Linked DNA regions of Astyanax mexicanus. The protein of the gene in region 1 purifies or fractionates together with the protein of each later gene. This does not show direct contact. Links are inferred from orthologs where the notes say so. Each region holds a gene or a part of one and is shown on either strand. Other genes may lie near its edges. The genes, in order: rrs1 and nifk.

Region 1 (10,309 bases):
ATATTAATATTCATTTGTGACGTAGCATGATACTTCAGTTAAATGTGATTATTTATGAAAACAGGTTTTCATAAGTTTTTTGATGAACTTATGAAAAACTATGGTCATTTATTTAGTTTGTTTTCCAATTTCTTATTATTTATTGTAATTAAATGAGCTGTTTTGATCAAGCCTTAGAGAGACTGAATAAAAATAAATAAGCTTTGTTCCTAGCTGCACTGTATTCCAGGCCAAATTGTTCCTTATAACATAACTGTGAAGAGCTGTACTGCTTTTGAATGCTTTTTATTCTACATTCAAGTTAAAACAAGGAATGGAGATGCAACTATAAAACTCTTTTTAAAAATAAGAATATTAACCCTACATGGCACAAATGTCTGCTGATGAATTGAGGTGTCCATCATGCATTGTGTTACTGTAATAGAGGCCATATTTGAAATTCAAAATAATGTATATAGTTATCATAATGCAAATTGCAATATGTAAAATGCAAATTAAGTATGTTTCACTGAGCAAGATAACTGAAAACCTGTTTTCATAAATAATCACATTTAACTGAAGTATCATGCTACGTCACAAATGAATATTAATATTTCCATGCTGCCTGGTGTAAAATATTTTTTTACAGTGCAAAAAAGAACATCAACACTTAAGCTTTTTATTACTATTTTTATCACTATTGTACATACGTTTTCTATATAATGTTCATGGTAAAATATTTATAAAAAATAAATCTGAGCACTAATTTGCTTTGCAGTACCCTGCCTGTACCTCTCCACCAAAAACGTTTTATAAAATATATTCAGACACAAAGCCTCACATCAGAACTAACATAAACACACTTAACTTAATTTACAACTTATCAATTTAATTACGTAAGAATGCTGGAAAATCAATGGCATTTCCCTCTTTAGATGTAAAGTTCCTCTGACTATTTCTGATCTTCGCGTCCCAGGACAGTGATGAAGGGAGAGGATGTGGAGTATTGTTTGTGTCGAGCAATCAGTAAACAATAGGTCTGACTGTCTGAATGAATCCAACAGCCTGCTGACCTCATTGCTGCACTAAAGACCTACAAGACCTATAAATTACACCCTTATCTTCAGCACAATTAAACCAGCTGCTAATCCTCACGCAACAGAGCAAGAACATGGTCATGCTCTTCTGCAGCATTCAGAGAAAGCCTCTCATGCAGCCTAATTTACCACCTTACCCCCCCCCCCAAAAAAAAATAAAAAAAAGGACAGAAAATCTTTATTATTGCTTTGTTTAGGAAAATGCAACAAATTTCCTTTTCTGGATTAAAGGCTTTGTTAACCAATGCCACTGACACTGACGTCAGAGCTATAATCACACAAGAGGGCACTAAAATCTATATATATTTACTTATTTTATTTGACCCAACGACTATATGTAGATTATTAACTAAGTCTGTCATAATAACTATATGTTGTGACTGTATTTTGTCCTATAAATAAATGTGATCAATAATATTGCCTTTTGAAGACCATTTGATGTCACTGATACAATAACATAATAACATAATAATGCATTTACATTCTTTTAAAGAGCAAAAAACTTAATTATTTAGATAATTTCAACATTAATATTGCAATATCCTATAATTTATATATTCTAAATACATATAAAATAAACAGTCAACATTCTGGCTTATTCAGGTTAATGGATCCTTCTTGCTAAGAAAAACATAATAGACTGAACAAAGGTCAGCAAAATAGTGATCATGCCCATACAGTCGATGATGTAATTATCTTGACAGGCCAACTGTTACCTAGTTTCTTTAAAGCCTCAATTAGTATATTTACCCACTTTGGCATACACCCTGCAGGCACTGCCAGTGCCCAAGATCCTCTCACTGCTGGCACTATCTTTGTCATTTATGCAATAGGCTGTGTACGTAATCTGAAAACCAGAATAAGGGAGGTCCATTTCTAGGAAAGTGTTTTGTTAGACATGGACACTAAACAAAAACTCATTTTAGCCGTATCATTATTTTCTTACCAGTGAAATTTAAAATAATGAGAGACACTAGAAGAGAAGCTACAAAACAATACAAGGAAAAATATCTAGATAACTAAAGAAAATAAATAACTCTTACACCCAATCAGACTGATGTAAACAAACCTTCAGAACAGGATACAGCATTAAACAAAATTTTCATATTATAACATTTATTCAAGAAAGCTTTATCAAAAAACTTGCAGTGCAGTGTTTAAAGACCCAACAGGCAAGTGAAATCAAGGGCACTGATGCTCCAAATGTGTTTGGAAAACCAACATCATCACAAATAATATGCGTGTAATACATACACAGGCATGGTTACAATGACAACACTCCACTTCTTGTTTTCAGGTTGCACAGACTTGTTATGCACACACACAAAAAAAAATATTTTTGCTAGCCATACACCTTACAGGCTGAGACCGTCCAATAGGATTGTATCAGTTCTGACTGTTACGGTTTGCATGACTTAAATTAGTATGTGTTTCGCACAGTTCAATTATAATGTATTTATTAATTATATATATATATATATATATATATATATATATATATATATGGTTTGTTATTAATTTTGCACTAGTTATAGTAGGTCACTACTGTCAGACTAATGTCTTATGGCTGCACTGGAGCATTTTGGAGGGTGACGTCTTAACACACAAAATACCTGGTCAACATCAAATACAAGGCACTTTTAATCAAGTACTGCCAAGCCATTACTGTCCAGCCACCGGTCAAAAATGGTAAGAGTAAATGCATTAATAAAAAACAGGGTCTCTCAAACAGTTCTACAGGAATCCTCAATAACATTCAGAATGGAAATGCAAAAATTGGTGGTTAAAGGAGGTTAAAGCCCCATGAACTGGTGGTTTTTGGTAGAATATAGGCCCTAGTTACTTTTCTCAGCATATCATAGACATGCTTACACTAAACAACAGCAAGTTTTACTAAACAACAAAAAATATTTTAACTCTTAGGCCGGAGGTAAAGACTGTTTAGAAGGACTGCCTTCAACACTGATCTTATTAGATAGATCTGACTTGGGCTTATTATCTGCTAAATGTCCATTCTTTTTTAAACATATAAATCAAATCACTGGAGAAAATCACAGAATGGATGAAAATGAAAGCATGGGTGTAAGGGTGGGTGAGCCGTAACCCATCATGCGTTAGAGAAACAACTACAAACAGAGATACTGGTGATGCACCTTGAAAATATATAGTTTTAAAATGACACTTGTGCATATTAGAGCAGAGAAAACACCAAGCTGTACTGGTGAGTTGAAACTTTGTTGTAACTCAAGGTGGCACCAGAGTGTCACTCCTGTGTGGAACACCACATGGCCTAATGTGATCAGTAATAGTCAGATGTCCATCTCAGTTCACATAAACACAAAGTCCAAGCTACAAAACAATACAAGGAAACATATCTAGATAACTAAAGAAAATAAATAACGCTTACTCCCAATCAGACTGATGTAAACAAACCTTCAGAACAGGATACAGCATTAAACAAAATTTTCATATAACATTTATTCAAGAAAGCTTTATCAAAAAACTTGCAGTGCAGTGTTTAAAGACCCAACAGGCAAGTGAAAACAAGGGCACTGATGCTCCAAATGTGTTTGGAAAACCAACAGATCACAAATAATATGTGTGTAATACATACACAGGCATGGTTACAATGACAACACTCCACTTCTTGTTTTCAGGTTGCACAGACTTGTAATGCACACAAAAAAATATATTTTTGCTAGCCATACACCTTACAGGCTGAGACCGTCCAATAGGATTGTATCAGTTCTGACTGTTACGGTTTGCATGACTTAAATTAGTATGTGTAATGTGATCAGTAATAGTCAGATGTCCATCTCAGTTCACATAAACACAAAGTCCATTACAATCAGCGCTTCCCCTGTTTCATATGAGGGCCTCGCCCCTTGCCTTTGGTGCTTCTGGCGCCTTTGCCACCTTTAGAGCCTTTGGCACCCTTTCCTTTTCCTCCAGCAGCACCTCTCTTTCCTCGGTCTCCCTTCTTCCCTGACCCTTTCTTCCTTCTTGTTCGTCCTTCCTCCTCCTCATCCTCCCTCAACTGTTTGTTCACAGCTTTGGTCACGTCCAAGCGTGGCTTCTTGGTCTCCATCACCTTTAGCATCTCCAGCTGCTTCTGCTTCTCGTTCCCAAAGTCCCCGAGCAGAGGCTGGAACTTCCTCTTCTTGCCGGTGTGCCTCGGGGCTTTTTCCTTAGGCAGCCGGTCCTGGAACTTGCCAACCGAGGCTGTGGAGGTCCTGGCCACGCTGACGGCCTGAGCCAGCTCTGATTTGGATTGCTGCGCCCTGGGTGCGAGCCCCAGCCCGGCTACTGGTGTTTTGCTGGCCCGGGCGATGTTGCGCAGGCGGTTGAACTCGTTTTTAGCCACTCGCTCTTTCTTAGCCTTGTTCCTCTTGGCGAACTGGTCCTCGCTGGGGTCGGCGGTCTCCGGCACCTCGATCAGCCACTCTTTAGTGTCGTCTTTAGCCCGCTTGTAGCCCCAGCGCCTTCGCCACTCCTTGTGCACCTCGTCCCACACCAGATTGGTCTTCTTCTTCTTCTGGATGCCCTTCAGCTTGGCGAACTGCTCCCATTTCGTCGGGGGTCTCACCTTGGGCAGGGGCTTCTCTCGCGGCAGCTTGGTGCTGGCCTCGGGCAGCTTCACCACCAGCACGTCGTCCGTGCGCTCCGCCGGCAGCTTCCAGATCTCGTTCACCAGTAGCTGCACGTTGTCTCTCGCCAGTGCCCGCAGCAACTCCTCGCGGTCCTGACTCCGACCCCGTAGCTCCACCGGGTTCTTATCCAGAGCCAGCAGGTTCCCCACGTCGAACTCCAGCTCCAGCTCTTTAACCACGCTGATGCTCTTCAGCCGCTCCGCCTCGTCCCGCTCGGCTTTAGCCAGCACGTCTTCCACACTGCACGCCGCCATGCTGCTCTCTGCACGTGTCACAGCTCCGGCACCACAATTAGACGTCATCAGCTGTGTTACCAACTTTCTCACACTAACAGTTATAACCAAACAAAACAGGAAAGAAATCAGTAAAAATACTGTCACTGTGAACAGTAACACACTACTGTCATTGTGAAAAAATAAAATAAAATAAAAATAACTACTGTCATTGTAAACAAGTAGAAAAAATAAAAATATAAACTGTCCTTTTAAACAGTAAAAAAAAATACTGGCCTTGTGAACACTTAAAAAAATACTGTCAATTGGGGAAAAACAAATAAAAGAAAGGATTAAAACACTTTAAAAAATAAAGACAAGTACAGAGAAAATATTTCAGAAACCTCACACAAAACTAATTTTCAGCATGAAAGCGATTACCACATAAAAAATACAATAACATATATTTTATAACTATTAAAATGGTACACACATATAATAAGCCTCCACAAATGAGTAATTTTTAAATTACTATACAATTCGGAAACATGAATTATAGTCGTTATTATGATGTACATATCTTGTAAATATAATCGTAGTTTAATAATATTTGTTTGAGGGAAATCTACAATGCGCCATCTGCTGGATACTTTCATTATGATTTTTTTCACTCGCTTATTATTATTTTATTTTTTTTGTAAGCATACACTGATAAACATTTGCTAAAAGCACAGTAAAATTACAACATAAATTGCTAGGTCATGTAACTTTGAAGTTTATATAAGATATAAATCTGAACTACAAAACCCATACTTCAGTGCGGCACCGCTTCCTTGGAGGTTCGAGGCTGACGTCAGCCATGCGACAGATTTTGTAGTCCGCTTTGGGGAAACGCTCATCGAACAGTCACTCTCAAATGATTGTTTATTTTAGAACATGGACATAGTGAAAGATATACGAAATACTTAACGTTAATATTATTTTAAAACATGTGTTTTTCTTGGTTTCACTGGATGTCCTTAAACACTGTTTTAGGAATATGAGAAAAAATATATAATGAGAAAATTCCTGTCTCTACTACAATTAAATAATGTAAAAGAGATCAAACTTAAAGACAAATATAAGGGCATTTCAGCCTAAAACTAGTACGTTTTAATTATATTACTAATATACCTGTAATATTATGTGTTATGGTGATGCATTCAGTACTCAAAAAAAAAAAAACATAATTTTTTTCATTTGAGTTGAATGCCAAACCTGATCAAGCTAGTCAACCAGTGTGATTTTGATAAATGTGATGTCTACAGACCTGTTATTTCTAGACCTTTTCTTCATAAATCAACAGTTCACAGTAATTTGTCCCAAAGTTTTCTAAATGTTTCTCCCAGCTTTAAGATACATAATCAAAAAGGAGTTTCCTATACAAAGAGTGTGGCTCTAAACGGCAAGTAAGAACATTTGACTGACACAATTAAGAAACTGAGGACCTGTTTAATTGTAATATTAGTTTAAATCCACTGGGTGTCGCTGCTGCTTAAATTTCGCTCTTAGATGAAGAACCCGAGATGACTTCCAGCAAATGGACGAACATGAGAATATTAATATAATATTTTCTGTGATTTTTTCACACCTAAATCAGTATTAGGCACTTGATATATATATTTGATATGACTGTGAGACTATTAAACATGTTGTACTGTAGTCTGTAAAGGCCATGAATCTAAACTTTTCTGTTTTAACTGTGCTAATCAATTTGGAAGGTTCCAATGATTCATTAAACAACAGTAATTTGGCAGTATTTCCTCTAACTCTAAAATAGATAAACTGATTTCTGTTTGGTGTCTTAAGTTCTTTATTTTTTAACCGGAGCTATGAGATATATGAAAGACACTCAGTGAGTGGCACATACTTCTATTACTGCTACGTTATTCTTCAGTGTAAAACTAAAGAAATATTAGACACCAAACATGTCTAGGATGATTGGTTTTAAGGGAAAATCGTTCCTTATGTAAATCTGACAATGTATTCATTTAAAGCAATACTATAGCCCTATCCAGTTTTATTCCTGTCTGGAACAACCATGTATGTGTTTTTCTTAGATATAATGTGAGAAAATTACAGGCTGAATTACATACTGTTTTCCTCTGAACTCAGTGATTGTCCTGTAATTTTAGTTAAAGTAGAAGTAGAAAGCCCTGTCTGGACGAGATTAGCTTCTCAGGGGGATGTCTGTAAAAAATATGTTACACTTCTATTTAGTGATAAAACTCCTGCATCTGGACTGCAATAAAAAAAAAACAGGAGGTCCAGTGAGTTTTTAGGCTTTCACGGTCACATGACATCCCGTTCAGTAGCTCCTCTATTTCCACTGGCTGTTGTGTTTATGTGGATCTCTGTGGAAACGTGCGCCCAAAGTGTAATAGCGGTGTGTGGCAGTGGACAAATAGCTATTTTATTAAACCCAAGGAGATGAAACTCAGAGATGTGGATCCGGACAAGACTCAAATGACCGGAGGACCACGGAGTTCAGCAAAAAACAGCAGGTAATTCAGTCTGTAATTTTCTTAGAGGACGTCGGAGAAAAACGCGTACATGGTCATTCTAGACGGGAATAAAATCACAGAGGACTCCCATAAAAGAGAAAATTACCCAAGGACCCCCTGAAAAACGAGTGTTTTTTCACTGACTTGTATTATCAAGAATACAGTCTATCTATTTTTTGCTACTCCAGGCTTAACATGCTGCTAACTGCACTTTAATTCTGGTGAAGCAGGCAAAATTATGCTGGTTTTATTTGTGTAATGCTGTCATTTTTAGGTTATATTATGATAAATTAATTTACTTAATCAGTGCACATGCTTCTTGCATTTTCAGTGATCGTTCTGTATCTCTCAGCTTGTCCAGAAAAGCATGTCTATTAGGGGCTTTATTAAAAGTTAGGAAAGGATTTTTTTTCTTCCTGTAAATTGCAATTCTAGATGTCATGCTCTGTGCCTTTTTCTAAAAACAACCCAGGGTAAAACACCCCCTATAACTTCAGTGTGAATGTGTTGGAAAAAACAGACACAGGCGGAAAAAGCAGACATAGTACTGTATATGTCAGTGTTAAATACTGAATTCAGTTCTTTAGTAATGGAAATAAAAGTAAGACAAATGTGTTTTTCCCTACAATATGATACAGCTCTGGAAATAAAATAAGAGACCACGTAAAAATATAAATTTCTTTGATTTTAAAATTGAAAACCTCTGGAATAAAATTAAGAGGAAGATGGATGATCACAAGTCATCAACATCAAACCAAGCTAAACTGCTTGAATTTTTGGACCAATAGTGGCATAAAGTTATCCAAAAGCAGTGTGTAAGACTGATGGAGGAGAAAATGTTGTCCGTAGTTTAAAGAATAAAATAACAATGCTTATTTTAATCAAACATATACCTATAAATAGCAAAAAAAGGTAAACTGATTCAGAAACTGAAGTGGTCTCTTAATTATATAGCTTTATATACAATATATCTAGATTTGGTAGTTTGGTGAAATTTAATTGCACAACCTGAAGATGCCCTTTGAAATAAAATTGCTAATCGTTGGCACATGTTTTGGTCTAGGCCTGGCCTGAGTTGGAGAGTGAGTGCTGCCATTTGGATCCTCATTAAAGTCTATTCAGCACAGATACACCTAATTATTTCAGTCACGGCCGGAGAACAGAGGAACTTTGAAGAATCGTCGCCTGTCCCCCGGAGAATGCCCACAGAGGGCTTGTTGTGTGGACTTTGGGGCTACCGAGCGCTGATGTCGTCTTCTGTTTTCTCTGTGAGGACCTCTCCTCTCCTCATCAGTATGGACAGAGAGCTCTATTTTCTTCTTTAGCTGGAATGACGCACCTTTGACTGGTGTCTCCCAATAGACCTGGAGGGCAACAGTATGCTGAATAAAATTTCCATTCGGTGTGAATTATTAGAGCCGCGGCTAATAGTCCCTGCCCAGAAGAACTGTGGAATGCTGTGCTGTACCTTGAAAAGGTAATCAGTCTGTGTGATAATCAGATAGAAAGTAAATGAGAGAGTAATTCATAGAAGAAGAGGCACTTCCCGATTCATGGCTTTGAGGGCCTATTGCAAATCAACCCCTCATTTTGGCAGCAGTCGCAATGCAGATATCAAATCATTTATGAAGATTCCAGGCTGAAGAGATTCCTGCATTTTTGGAAGTAACACTTCCATGTGTGGATTCAATACACGCATGCTGCAATTACGTAACATCATACAAGACACTGCTCTGTGGATTCATGCAGCACAAAAGTCCATTTTTATTCAGAGCTAAAAGTGTTTCCATCTCATGTGAAATATGTCCTCGTGATGGTATTCAGAATAAATTGATGTGCTTTCATTTGCTGTGCAGACCTCAATGTAGTTAGAAGGTGCACCACACCAAGAACCTACTCCGCTCTTATGCTGATAAACATATTTATATGTTTCACTTCTCCAAACTCAATTTAGAGACTTTAGATGGGTTCATGTTTTAGAAGCAACCAAGAAAAAGCTTCTGCTCCATGATTGAAATTCACACTGACAGGCATATTCAAGCGTATGAAGGAACTCCCTGGTGTGTCAGATTGAGATATAAAGATTCACTTTTGCACATTTTCAAAACATGAACCATGTAACCTAGAAGCTGCCACACTGGGATTTCATTCTGATTGAAGGTCAGCGCATGTTGGGTAAGTTCAAGTGTATCACAGATGTTAAACAGAGAACAGAAAACTTATGTTTCCCCAAAGCATCAGGTGAGCTTCATAAATGTGAGATGAAGTTCTGAATAACCTTTAAAAGAACCTTTCCTCACTTCAATTTAGCCTCCCTCTGAAGAAAGCCTTTGTTTATACCTTCAAAAAGGTGACTTTACAGAAGAAATTGGTCTAACTTTTAATGGAAGTTAATGTAACAGTTTTACATTAAAGCAGAGCTGGAGAGTTATTTATTTTGACGCTGAAAGTTACACAATACAGACCAGACCCCCATCAAACTCTTAACTGTATTATCTCTACCTTCTGTCCCTGTCTCATCAGCATCATGCTGGCCAACCAGCTTGTTCATGCTGGTCAATCTTATTTGCAGTGTGGTTGCCATAAAAAAGCAGGCACAGCAATATAAGCATTTTATGATACAATATAATGAATCAGACACCGTCCAATCAGAATATCATGACCACCTGAAGATGACACATTTTCAATATACTAGCCAGGAATATTTTATCCATCTTTTGTTGGTTTATAGCAAAAAATGAACAGGTTTAGGTACACCTTTGTGGAAACGTTTTTTAACCTGTTCTTGCTTGCTAAAACTTTTAGTTCTGTAAAATTGTTGGTCTGTT
Region 2 (10,808 bases), on another chromosome or scaffold:
ACTAGGAACCTGTTTACACCTGGTTACTTCATGTGAGTAGTATCTGGATTGTATCCTGTAAAAGATTCTGACCACATGCATTTAAACTGCTCATGGAAGATAATGGCATTTCCAGTTATTGAGACTAAGATGGTCTGAATGAAAAGAATCGTATTCATGTTTGGTGTTTTTACACTCGCGTCTTTATCCATACTTTTCTCAGACCCTAATTTTTAGACTTTTTTTTTTTTAATTCAAATAATTTGAGGTTCCAAAGATTTTACACAAGTCTGCATTTCACCTTCTTAATCCATTGGGGATCATTAGTCAACCAGTCTTTATATTATATTACAATTACCCATTATTATGAGTTCTGTTAAAATCAATCTTGATTATTGATCCTAATACTTAATAGAAATATTGTTTAGTAATAAAGTTGTATTGAGAGGGACAGTGGCTCATTATAAGTCCCATTTTTATAGTGCTGTTTTTTTCCTCCTTCACATTGTATGTGTGCAGAGAATTGTCAGTAACCATGGGCTGCGAAGGATACATCAGTTGCGTCCTTGAAATCCAAACCATCACCTAATCAGGTATTAGTTTGCTATCAACCATAAACAAAAATAGCCATGCTTTTTTGTTGTGACTATATTTAACACAAATCAAGCAGTAGCTATCTAGTAGTTATCTATCAGGCAGTATGCCCTTTACTAATGCCTGGAAGGTCGAGTGGACAATTGAAGTACTTGTGGTCAAGCTGAGCTGATTGCAATGTCAATCCCTTTCTCTCTCTCTCTCTCTCTCTCTCTCATGCTCTCTCACCATCTGAGTGACACAGAAGCAGTGTTTGAAGTTGTGGAATGGGATGTTGTTGTAGCGCTTGTAGACCTCATAGAGAAACTGCTGCAGGACGTCCAGCTCTATGTTGAAGGTGGAGATGAAGTCCAGGTCTGTATACATCACCTGAAGCAGCACCATGATCTCTGCGTCCTCCCACTGCCTAAACACAGAGACATGCTTTTCACACTGTATGGACATTAGATGATTAATGAATTATCTGATGAGCTAAAAATGCTGCAAAAATTGGATTTTGATGCAAAAAATTTTTTTTAAATTGTATGTAGTAAATGTATGGTTAGTTTGTTGTGTCATTTTACCAAGGGCAATTATGGAAATGTTACAGATTATGATTAAAAACCAAAGCAAAAATTTTAATTATATAAGAAATTACAGTTATGTTTAGTAACAAGCTTTTGATTGGTGGAGACAGAAAAGAGGGGCATCAGTAGAGAAAAATATTAGTAAAAGGGAGGAGATGTGTTGGTTATGAACATGTAAGCAAGAAAAGGATTGTATTTTATAGGAAATAAGATTAACAGGCTTCAAACATGTTCCTCCTTCCAAAATCTTGTTATTTTCATAATGCCACTTAGTGGACATGGGTATTAAATCCATAACCTTGTGATTAATAACAAAATAAAAACCTACGATCTAACGTTACTTCATGAAATTTAAGCTTTTCCGGTTTCCCCACTTGTTTTGCTGCCCAGTTTTTCTGTATGTCTGTATGTGAGGAGGATCATTCTTTTCTTATCATTTTTAGTCCTGACCACAACATGATGCTTTGATTCCTGCATTCTGATTGAAGTTGCACGAGCTAAGATGTTCATGTTTTTGTCCCCTTCACGCATTGCCTTTATCACTCCAGCAGGCTTTAATAGTGTTCTTTGATAGAGACACAAACCTGACACACATTTACGTCCAAACAGTGTTTGCATCCGTGCAGAACCCTGTTTTGTTAATCTGAAAGGCCTGGGTTCAAAAACTAATCCAGAAGACCACTGCATAAATACAGTCTTCAAAGCATGAAGCCGAGTGCTCTGTTCTGAAGGACTGCTATTGATTTGTAAGCCCCTGGAACAACCATTCATATTGATATGAGTTCTTTTGGGCAGATGAAAGGACTGAATCTCCTCTGGCCTCTTTATGCACGGCAGAGGAGCTGCGCTTTCACTTCTGCAGCGAATGTTCATTTTGCTATAGCAGGTGCTCAGCTCATTTGTTGGACTTACATAGGCTAATGATGTTTAATATTTTAGCACCTTGTGCCTAGAGGGATATAATCATCCTTTATTAAATAAGTCATAGGAAATCATTGTCCCAAAAATAGTGAAATATAATGTAAAATAATTTATACTATGTGCACACTTGTGACTATGCTGATAGCAAGACTGTTCACTTTGCTTTTGGAGTTATTTATTCAGTGAATTGCTCTCACAATATGATTTCCTTTCCCATACCTCACCTTTCCACACCTCCCTGTACCTCAGTTTAATCTTCTCCCTGTACCTCAGTCCCATCATCTCCATGTACCTCAGTCCCATGTCCTACCTCCCCTCTCTACCTCAGTTCTATCTCATCCTGTACCTTGGTGTCATGTCCTACCTTCCCTTTCTAGCTCAGTTCTCCTCCCTGCACCTCACTGTAAGCTGAATTGTGTTGATGTTTAAGTTAAACTCACCAGTTGTCAAAGGTGGGTGTCTTCAGGTATTGTCTCACCTCCTCTGAGACCTCCAGAGTACTGTGTGAAGACATTTCAATAATGTTAAACTCACTTAACCAAAAACTCTGCGTAGTGCTGCAGAGCAGGGACTAAAAGTGAAGATTTGTAGCTCACCTCATCTGGAGGAACTTTTCCCGGACGTGCTCACACTCTTCACGTGTCTTGCGCAGCGTTCTCTTATGGTAGAACGGTGAAGGTTTATGGGGTCTCTCTGAGAGTTCTTTAAACAGCCCCAGCCAGCTCAGGTGCTCCACACTCTAAAGAGAACAGAAACTTATAAACACAACCAGGCAGAAAGAAAAGGGTGATTTCATTTAAAATGGTAAAAGAATTGCATAGACCTGGATTAAACTCCTAAAGGCCTGGACGGGGCCTACATTTCATTTTTTATTTACTCATTACTTATACATAGAAATAACTGTGTGGCAATGGGCAATGCTGCTCTATGCAGATTATGCAAACTGTGTGTATCTACACAGTTTGGTAGCATCATGTAATAGTGGAGGCCTAACCATGGGAAAGTATTTTGAAAAGACTAAATTGGGATGAAAATTATGTCAAATTAAATATGTCTTTACATATCCAAGACTTTTCAAAGTGGAAATGGTTCTTTGCCTGGTTGGAGTTCTTTACATTTGTGGGAAACTTTATTGTAACTGGATTGATTTTGGATGGTGCAAATGGAAGCTATGGTTTACTAGTCTGTCAAACCATTTAAATGATTATGGTTGAATTGATCACTTTAGATAAATATTGGCCAAAGAAAGACATTTCCAGATATATGTACAGATATGAGTTTACCTCCAGTTTTTCCCGGAACGACTCCACCTGTCTCTTCATCTCATAAACAATGGCCGGAGTCTCACTAGCTTCAGTAAGAATCTTCTTCTCCAGGCTTTGTAACCTGGTTGAGAAAGTGTACTTTCTAAGTTTATTTAAAAAGTACATGTCTGACAATATGTGGACTCAGATTATACACACAGTATGTCTACCTTTTCTCCATGGAGGACAAATCGAAGCCCAAGGCCACTGCCAGCTCTGTACCTGAAACATATCACAGCAATCGATTTCTCATATGAGTGAATTTTCTCCATATTGTCATTTCAATCATGAAGGACAGCTAGTTCTGCAGTTCACCAGCTTGTCTCCAGTTTTAATTCAGAGAATACCTAATGGCTCACTGTTGCAGTCTGCAGCAACCACCTCCAGCTTGTAGCAGGAATGAGGGCTGTTTGGGGTCAGCTGAGGGGAGATGTTGATGATGTTGCCTTTGGGGTTGTAGAGCTTTAGGATATCGTGAGGCCCAGCTTCAGCTGCTGATCGGAACAGATCTGTAGGAGAAACATTTACACACACACAAGGCTGGGAAAGGGTCATATGTACTGTATATTTACTAAAGATTATATAGCTGCTGCCAAAACAAATCCCAATTCTGTTGAGAAGGAAATTTCCAACCCATCCATTTCCAAACTATATTTTTCTGGTATTTTTCAAAGACATTTAATCTTGTGTTAAAACAACACTATATATATCAGTGTTTTTACCTTAAAAAAACAGCTTCAGAATCAAAGTGATACAAATAAAATAAAAATATGTCTCACTCTACCCCCTAAAGTGGTTTGATTAATTAGGTTTGTATCTGTTTTAAATATGTCTTGGGTAAGCTACACTTCATATGTATCTGGCTTGGCCTTTTTCAGACATATCCTGATACTTAAAGTGTACACACATTAATTGACCAATTGTGAGCAGTGTCTTATGTTGTGTTTGAATCTGTCTAGAACCCACGTGAACGTGGATGTGACTCCAGTTCTGAGGAGAACACCATGAAGTATGTTGTGCACTTGATGCAGAGCCTTGTCAGCTCCACCTGTGGCCCATTCTCTTCAACAAGATCTCTCTCTCTCTCTTTCTCTCTTACTCTCTTTCTTACTTTCTCCCACTCTCTCGCTCTGTCTTTCTCTTTCTGTCTTTCTTACTATTTCTCTTTCTTTCTAGGATAGGAAAATAGGAAAACACTGAGGACATCAATACAGGTACAGATGAAATTTATATATAAAGCTGGATACTACATGTTTTTTATGCTTTCAGCCTAATTGACAATTCTAAATAAATTCTCATCATAGTCCTGCTCACGTCATCACATTTATAGCAATAAGAGCCAGTACATGAATTTGCCTGACATTTAATGATATTTCTTCCAAACTACGGTTCGACCTTCGCTCCACTTCATTACGTTATTATTTATAAAACAACCTTCAATAATTCTAAATAAATAAATGAATTAAATGTGTCCTCACCTTTGACATCCTGTGCAGGACAGTCAACAGGGAACTCTGCTTGCTCTGGTCTTCCGTTCACTGTAAAATAAATGATTTTAGATTCCATGCCAGATGCTGACTCTCCCTCACTTCCTGCAGCTGAATGATCTGTTTACAGTGTGACATCTATTTAACAGAGGGCCACTTCACAACTCCTCCTCCTCTCCTGTCCCTCCTCCTCTACTGCCATCCCTCTCTCCTTTCTTAACCACCTGGACTGGGCTGCACCGTCTTGTTTATGTTCCATTTTAAATCTGTGTATACTGTCTAATGTATAGTGTCTGTAATAAGTCCTTAGTTAACATTGGCGAGTAGTTTCAATCTATCATTTTACTAAATGTGGTTGAACAATCTGTATGTTGTGTCTTAACTAGTAATGACTTTTACATGACAAAAGCAATTAAAATGCTTGATAATACTAGTATATACTGTTTACACTGGAAAATACTGTATTTACAGTACCAATTGACAATGCCAGTGAATATCAAAATAGCAATTTCTGCATAACAGGGTCCGTAACAATAGTATCAGCTAATACATTTGACAGAATGCTGTATGTTTTAGTGGATAATTTATGAGTTTGATATACTATAGTAGTATTTGTATAAACAGTGTAAAAGACATTTATTTGTTACACTTAAAAATGTATATTGTATGTATATTCTAATAATATCTGTACCAGAATATATATATATATATATATATATATATATATATATATATGTATATATCAAACTAATATTTAAGGTTCTGGTACAGATATTATTAGAATATACATACAATATACATTTTAAGAGCCAGTACATGAATAGAGCCAGTACATGAATTTGCCAGTACATGTATATATATATATATATATATATATATATATATATATATAGAGAGAGAGAGAGAGAAAATCCTAAAAGATGGCAGAAGCAACAAGCCCTGGGCCAATGTGGCGTAATTATAACAAATCTGTTCAAAAAGCCTTCCGCAGAGATGTACATACATTTTTACACAGGGCCAGGTTTGAATAGACATTCTCTCTCTCTCTCTCTCTCTCTCTACCCCCAGACAAAGACTGGTTATGAACTGAATGCAGGAAAGTACAACAACACTGTTATCAGAACCCCTCCCACTAGTTGCTGACACTAGAATATAACCAGACTAGAACGTGTTCAGCAGTATACATGCACACCACATTAGTTTTACTTTCAAATCATTAAAACAACACACCAAAATCTCAACCTATGCTTTATATTTGACAACATTATTTAACTGAACTGAGATTATTTAACTGAACAGAGTTTAATAAAGAGCATAATACAAAGTATTTCAGCATAAAATCACATATTTATAATGTGTGACAGTGCCATGTATCATTATTACATCTCTGCCGTTTGTAACAAACCAAACTCTTATAAGAAAAAATCCATTGATGGAATAACCTGGTCTATATTCAGTATATTCAGGTAGTCAGCTGACCTCATTCTTTCAGCACATACTGTTGCTGAACCCAGACCTAACCAACTGCAGCAACCCAACCCCACATAATTGATCCTTGGTTTAATCCAGGTGGCGACTTATTTTATTTGACTAGGCACGGTATATGACCAAATGAGCTGATTTTAGAGGACAGTGCTTTGTGCAGAGTCCTCCTTTCCAGATGGGGTCTCTGTATTTCAGTATTTGAGTCGATGGGGGACTTTTATTGTGAAATATTTCCGGTTTTCCGCCATGTGTTACGCTGCTGTTCTTCCTCAGTAGAAACGTGGTTGGTGGCGAAGCAGCGGGCTGTGTGTGTAAGTGTAGTTGTATAGTTTTTTTCTGTATTTGAGCTGTGTTTATATTAATCATGACTGAGGGCAAGAAGTCCTCCAAGACCAGCCCGAAGCTGCTCGCCCTGAACCCCGCGGAGGACGCCGAGTTTCAGAAGAAAATCCAGCAAGTGAAGGGTCGCCCCAGAGCGGTAACTATGCTACACTCTACTAATCCTCATGCTGTAGAGCAGCAGTGTTATTGCTGAGAGTTAATGAGTGAGGACTGTGTGAGATATCAGTAAAATGTTTAAATCTGCTCTGTTTGTGTCATGATGAAACTACCAGTGTGACTGATTTTCTGTTTTTTCCCTTTAATCCTCGTGTATTATAAATTCAATGCACTTTAACATGTGGAACACGTGGTAAATTAGCTTTAGCCCTGTTAAGTGCTTACAAACCTTTCTCAGGACCTTCAAAAAATTAGTTTTAATTCTCTATGACACGGTGTTGTCGTTATTGCATTGTCCTTTTAATGCGTTTTCTATTGTTACTGAGGCTATATTGTTTAAAACAATTATTTTTATTTTCATTTTATCAACCTACTAACATTATTTTACCGGACAAATATGAAAATCTGCCATATTGGTTTTGTTTTAGGAAACAAAATAATGTAACTCATCCATACTTATTTATTTTGTATGTATTAACTTTAATTGTTATAATTCAGAGTATTTAGTGTAAATCAGATTTTTTCTGTTCATTTTATGTAGCTTTACCTGTTATGGTGCGTCATAAACTATACACTGACAATAGAGATATTACAAAAAGTGTGTGTGTGTGTGTTGTGGGAGGTCTCAATAGCCATGTAAATTCTAAAAATATTCATTGTGCAGCTTCCATAGGTTTGTTAGGGTTGGATTAACCGCAAAAAAGTTCCTTAAGGATCTAACCGTATTTAACCGTAGTTTATGTAGCCATTTATGTTTGATTGTATGTGTCTTGTTTAACCCTCCTGTTCTGTTTTTCCTCTCAGACCCTGAAGCCTGGAGTGGTATATGTGGGCCACATTCCCCAGGCCTTGGCTGAACCGCAGCTTAGACCTTACTTTTCACAGTTTGGCAAAGTTACAAGGTTACGATTGTCCAGAAGTAAAAAGGTGAACTTTTTTTTTTTAATTCAAACAGGTTTCCTTTATTTATTTATTTTTATTGTAGTAATATTTACTTTGATTGTATGCATGAAGGGTCATGTTTTCTAGAAATAATTCATTTCAGACTGAGATAAAATGTGTAAATGTGTTTAATTTCCTTATTGTGTCCTAAGGAGATGATAAAAGAAGTTAAATAAGATGAATAGGTAAATAGTAGTAGGGTTCTGGATATAGGCATATTCTGAAAATTACCTTCAGCATGGCCGTTGCTGTGGGTAAGATAATTGTGCCAACAGAAACGTGGTACATTTAGCTTATTGCCAGATGATATAGCTGTGCAATGAAACCCATGTGCCTACAGGCTAAAAAGCTGTGGATGTTTCTGCAGCTGTGTCAATCACAATTGATTAAATAATTTTGACTGATCTTGCTCTTTTTCATTCTTAGACTGGCCGGAGTAAAGGCTATGCCTTTGTGGAGTTTGACTGTGATGAGGTTGCCAAGATTGTGGCTGAGACCATGAACAACTACCTTATTGGGGAGAGGCTGATCAAATGTGAGTAAAGTAAATTAATTTAATTTGTTTTTTTTGTTTTTTTCTTTGTTACGGTGGTGCAGTATAATGCCAGTGTTAAAATGTCTTGTTTACTTATAATATAATATTTTGAACAGGTCACCTGATTCCTCCAGAGAAGGTCCATGAAAAACTTTTTGTTGGTTCTCAGAGGATTTTTAAAAAGCCCAGACTTCCTGCAGTTGCACGGTACAATAAAAGTCACAGCTCAGAAGATCTGAAGAAAGTTACAGGGAAACTTCTAAGAAAAGAATCCAAGCTTCGCAAGAGACTGGCAGAGAAGGGCATTGACTATGACTTTCCAGGATTCGTAAGTTTTCTTGTTTTCTATATGTCTTATAACATTTCGTATATTTTGCGTGTTGGACTAAATCAATAATGCTGCTACACTTTTTGTTCTGTTCTTTTACAGGCAGCTCAAGTTCCTGCGAAGAAAGCTCAGTCAGGTGCTGACACATCAGTCTGTAGTGAGGTGAGCTCTGATGTGGAACAATTATAGAGATGTTTAATGATGTAAAGAAACATATTTCAAGGCACAGTCTGAAAATTACTCCAGTTGTCTTAGTTTTCTGGAGTAAGATAACTGTGCCAACATAAAATTGGTACATTTAGCTTATTGTCAGCTTATATAGCTGCACAATGAAACCCATGTGCCTACACCCTACTGCTTATGTGTTCCTACTTATCCTGTCATTATGTATGTTAGCATATTATGGTGTTTTTAACACCTTCATTTTTAAGTCTGGTTAAATTGATCTTTGGTTTACCTTTAAGTTTGAACCAAACCGCTCTGAAGGTGCAGTATCACCTACATTTCCCAGATATTTACTACAGCTATAAACAAATGCACTGTCTGCCATTGTTCCATGTTGAATTACACAGATGTAATAACAATCAATACAGTAATTTGTCACAAAATAAACCTTAACTACATAGCTGTATTTATTTTTTCTTTCCATTTAAATATCCATCTCTTCTTAAATAAACAAAAAATGTCTCACAAATGAAACATAACCAGAATTACCATCAATAATTAATCCTAGTAAAGGTCATGATTGATTTTTTTTTTATTTCCCAAAGTCTCAGATCAGGACTCTGTATAACAATTTAAATTAAATTATATTTAATTTGTATAACAAATTATACTGGCAAAAGAAAATGTAAAGTTAGGAAAATCAGAATAAAATGACACCGAATGAAAATAAATACATCGGTGCATGACTAATTGGATTGTGTGTATTGTTCCTCAAATACATGTAATATGGCATTGTTTAGGTCATAAAATTATCAGAAATATTGGATTTAATTTGTAACAGTTCAGCAGAATATTTGATTAATGATTTGTCTGTTTTACAGGACGCCACCCCAGTATGTACCCCTTCAATCCTGGAGAGAAGAAAGTCAATAAGAGTAGAGGATGATGACGTTGATGATGAGATTGTCCTCAAAACACAGTCGGTGAAGAGTGAAGATGTTGAAGGCTGTGAAGAGGACACTGAGGAGGAAGAAGAGGAACAGGCAGAAGCAGAGGGAGCATCGGATGATGTGGAGGGTTGAACCTCTCTTCTGTTCTTTAGGACTGTATTAGTTCTTTGGGGAGAAACATCTTCCTAAACTACTAAGCTTTCATGATTTGTATATAAGACTTTCTCAGTTCATCACACAGATGGACAGATAGAGAAAACGCACAGCTGATGCCCTCATTGAGACTTGAGGAACTGTTTCAGCATTTGTGCATATATTGTGCATTACATTTGCTTGTAATGCAGATGTTATATATATGTGTGGCTCTGTTCTGGCTGTGGTTTAGCATTTAGTTGCTTTGCTTTGTGTAAAGCAGACTAGAGCTTTACAGAGTCATGTTGAGCTGTATAATACACACAGGACTATGTATCACCTGAATAAAATGTGTGTGAGTTTTCTTCCCTAAATAATTTTGCTCCACAGCAGTAGAATGAGGGATAAATCACAAATATGGAAAAGCAAAAATTGTGCTTGTGTCCGAATGGTTGTTAAATATATACCTGTTAATAAAGTTATGCAGGAGAAGTCTGAAGTGGACTTGGTTTGTAGTGAAACATGATATCGAGTACAAACATTTGTTGAATAGCCCACCTCTGAAATACAGCACTTTTAGCCAAAGTTCCCTATTTTTACACCATTAACAACAAGCTCATTAAGTAGCTCCGCACTTCATTGGTAGATTTGAGTGTCTCGACATTTAAAAAAAGGCACTGAGAGCTTTAAAAGTGCACAGATAGTTTATTAAAAACACTGTAAACACAGTAGCTTGAGGTAGTTAGTTGGTAGCGCCATCTTACAATTGTCACAATATGTTGGCTTATGAGCACAAACAAACAGGATAGGGTAACGAAATGCAGTGTTGAATAGAAATGCATGAATTTCAGTTGCTGCTGAAAATGTCTGTACAATACTGATGCTTTTCCACTGAATTATGGAATTAATTTTAATTAATCTT

What was found.
Region 2: the proteins of rrs1 (region 1) and nifk purify together in Homo sapiens (affinity purification with mass spectrometry; 3 studies listed by BioGRID and IntAct, counting the BioPlex papers as one, with this or other methods). This does not show direct contact. The link is inferred for Astyanax mexicanus from reciprocal best matches to the Homo sapiens genes RRS1 and NIFK.

The regions. Positions count from the first base shown.
Region 1 is NC_064408.1:97,454,019-97,464,327, reverse strand, and holds rrs1 (ribosome biogenesis regulatory protein homolog), read right to left. Parts: upstream 5,019-10,309; 5' UTR 4,981-5,018; coding exon 3,925-4,980; 3' UTR 2,161-3,924; downstream 1-2,160. UniProt on the Homo sapiens protein: Involved in ribosomal large subunit assembly. May regulate the localization of the 5S RNP/5S ribonucleoprotein particle to the nucleolus.
Region 2 is NC_064418.1:8,214,659-8,225,466, reverse strand, and holds the start of nifk (MKI67 FHA domain-interacting nucleolar phosphoprotein), read left to right. Parts: upstream 1-6,308; 5' UTR 6,309-6,700; coding exon 6,701-6,814; intron 6,815-7,638; coding exon 7,639-7,761; intron 7,762-7,991; exon of another isoform or gene 7,992-8,118; intron 8,119-8,202; coding exon 8,203-8,311; intron 8,312-8,427; coding exon 8,428-8,639; intron 8,640-8,741; coding exon 8,742-8,801; intron 8,802-8,864; exon of another isoform or gene 8,865-8,991; intron 8,992-9,685; coding exon 9,686-9,886; 3' UTR 9,887-10,808. Other genes in the region: si:dkey-219c10.4 (high affinity cGMP-specific 3',5'-cyclic phosphodiesterase 9A), read right to left, coding at 802-979, 2,501-2,560, 2,657-2,799, 3,344-3,446, 3,535-3,586, 3,712-3,873, 4,843-4,930.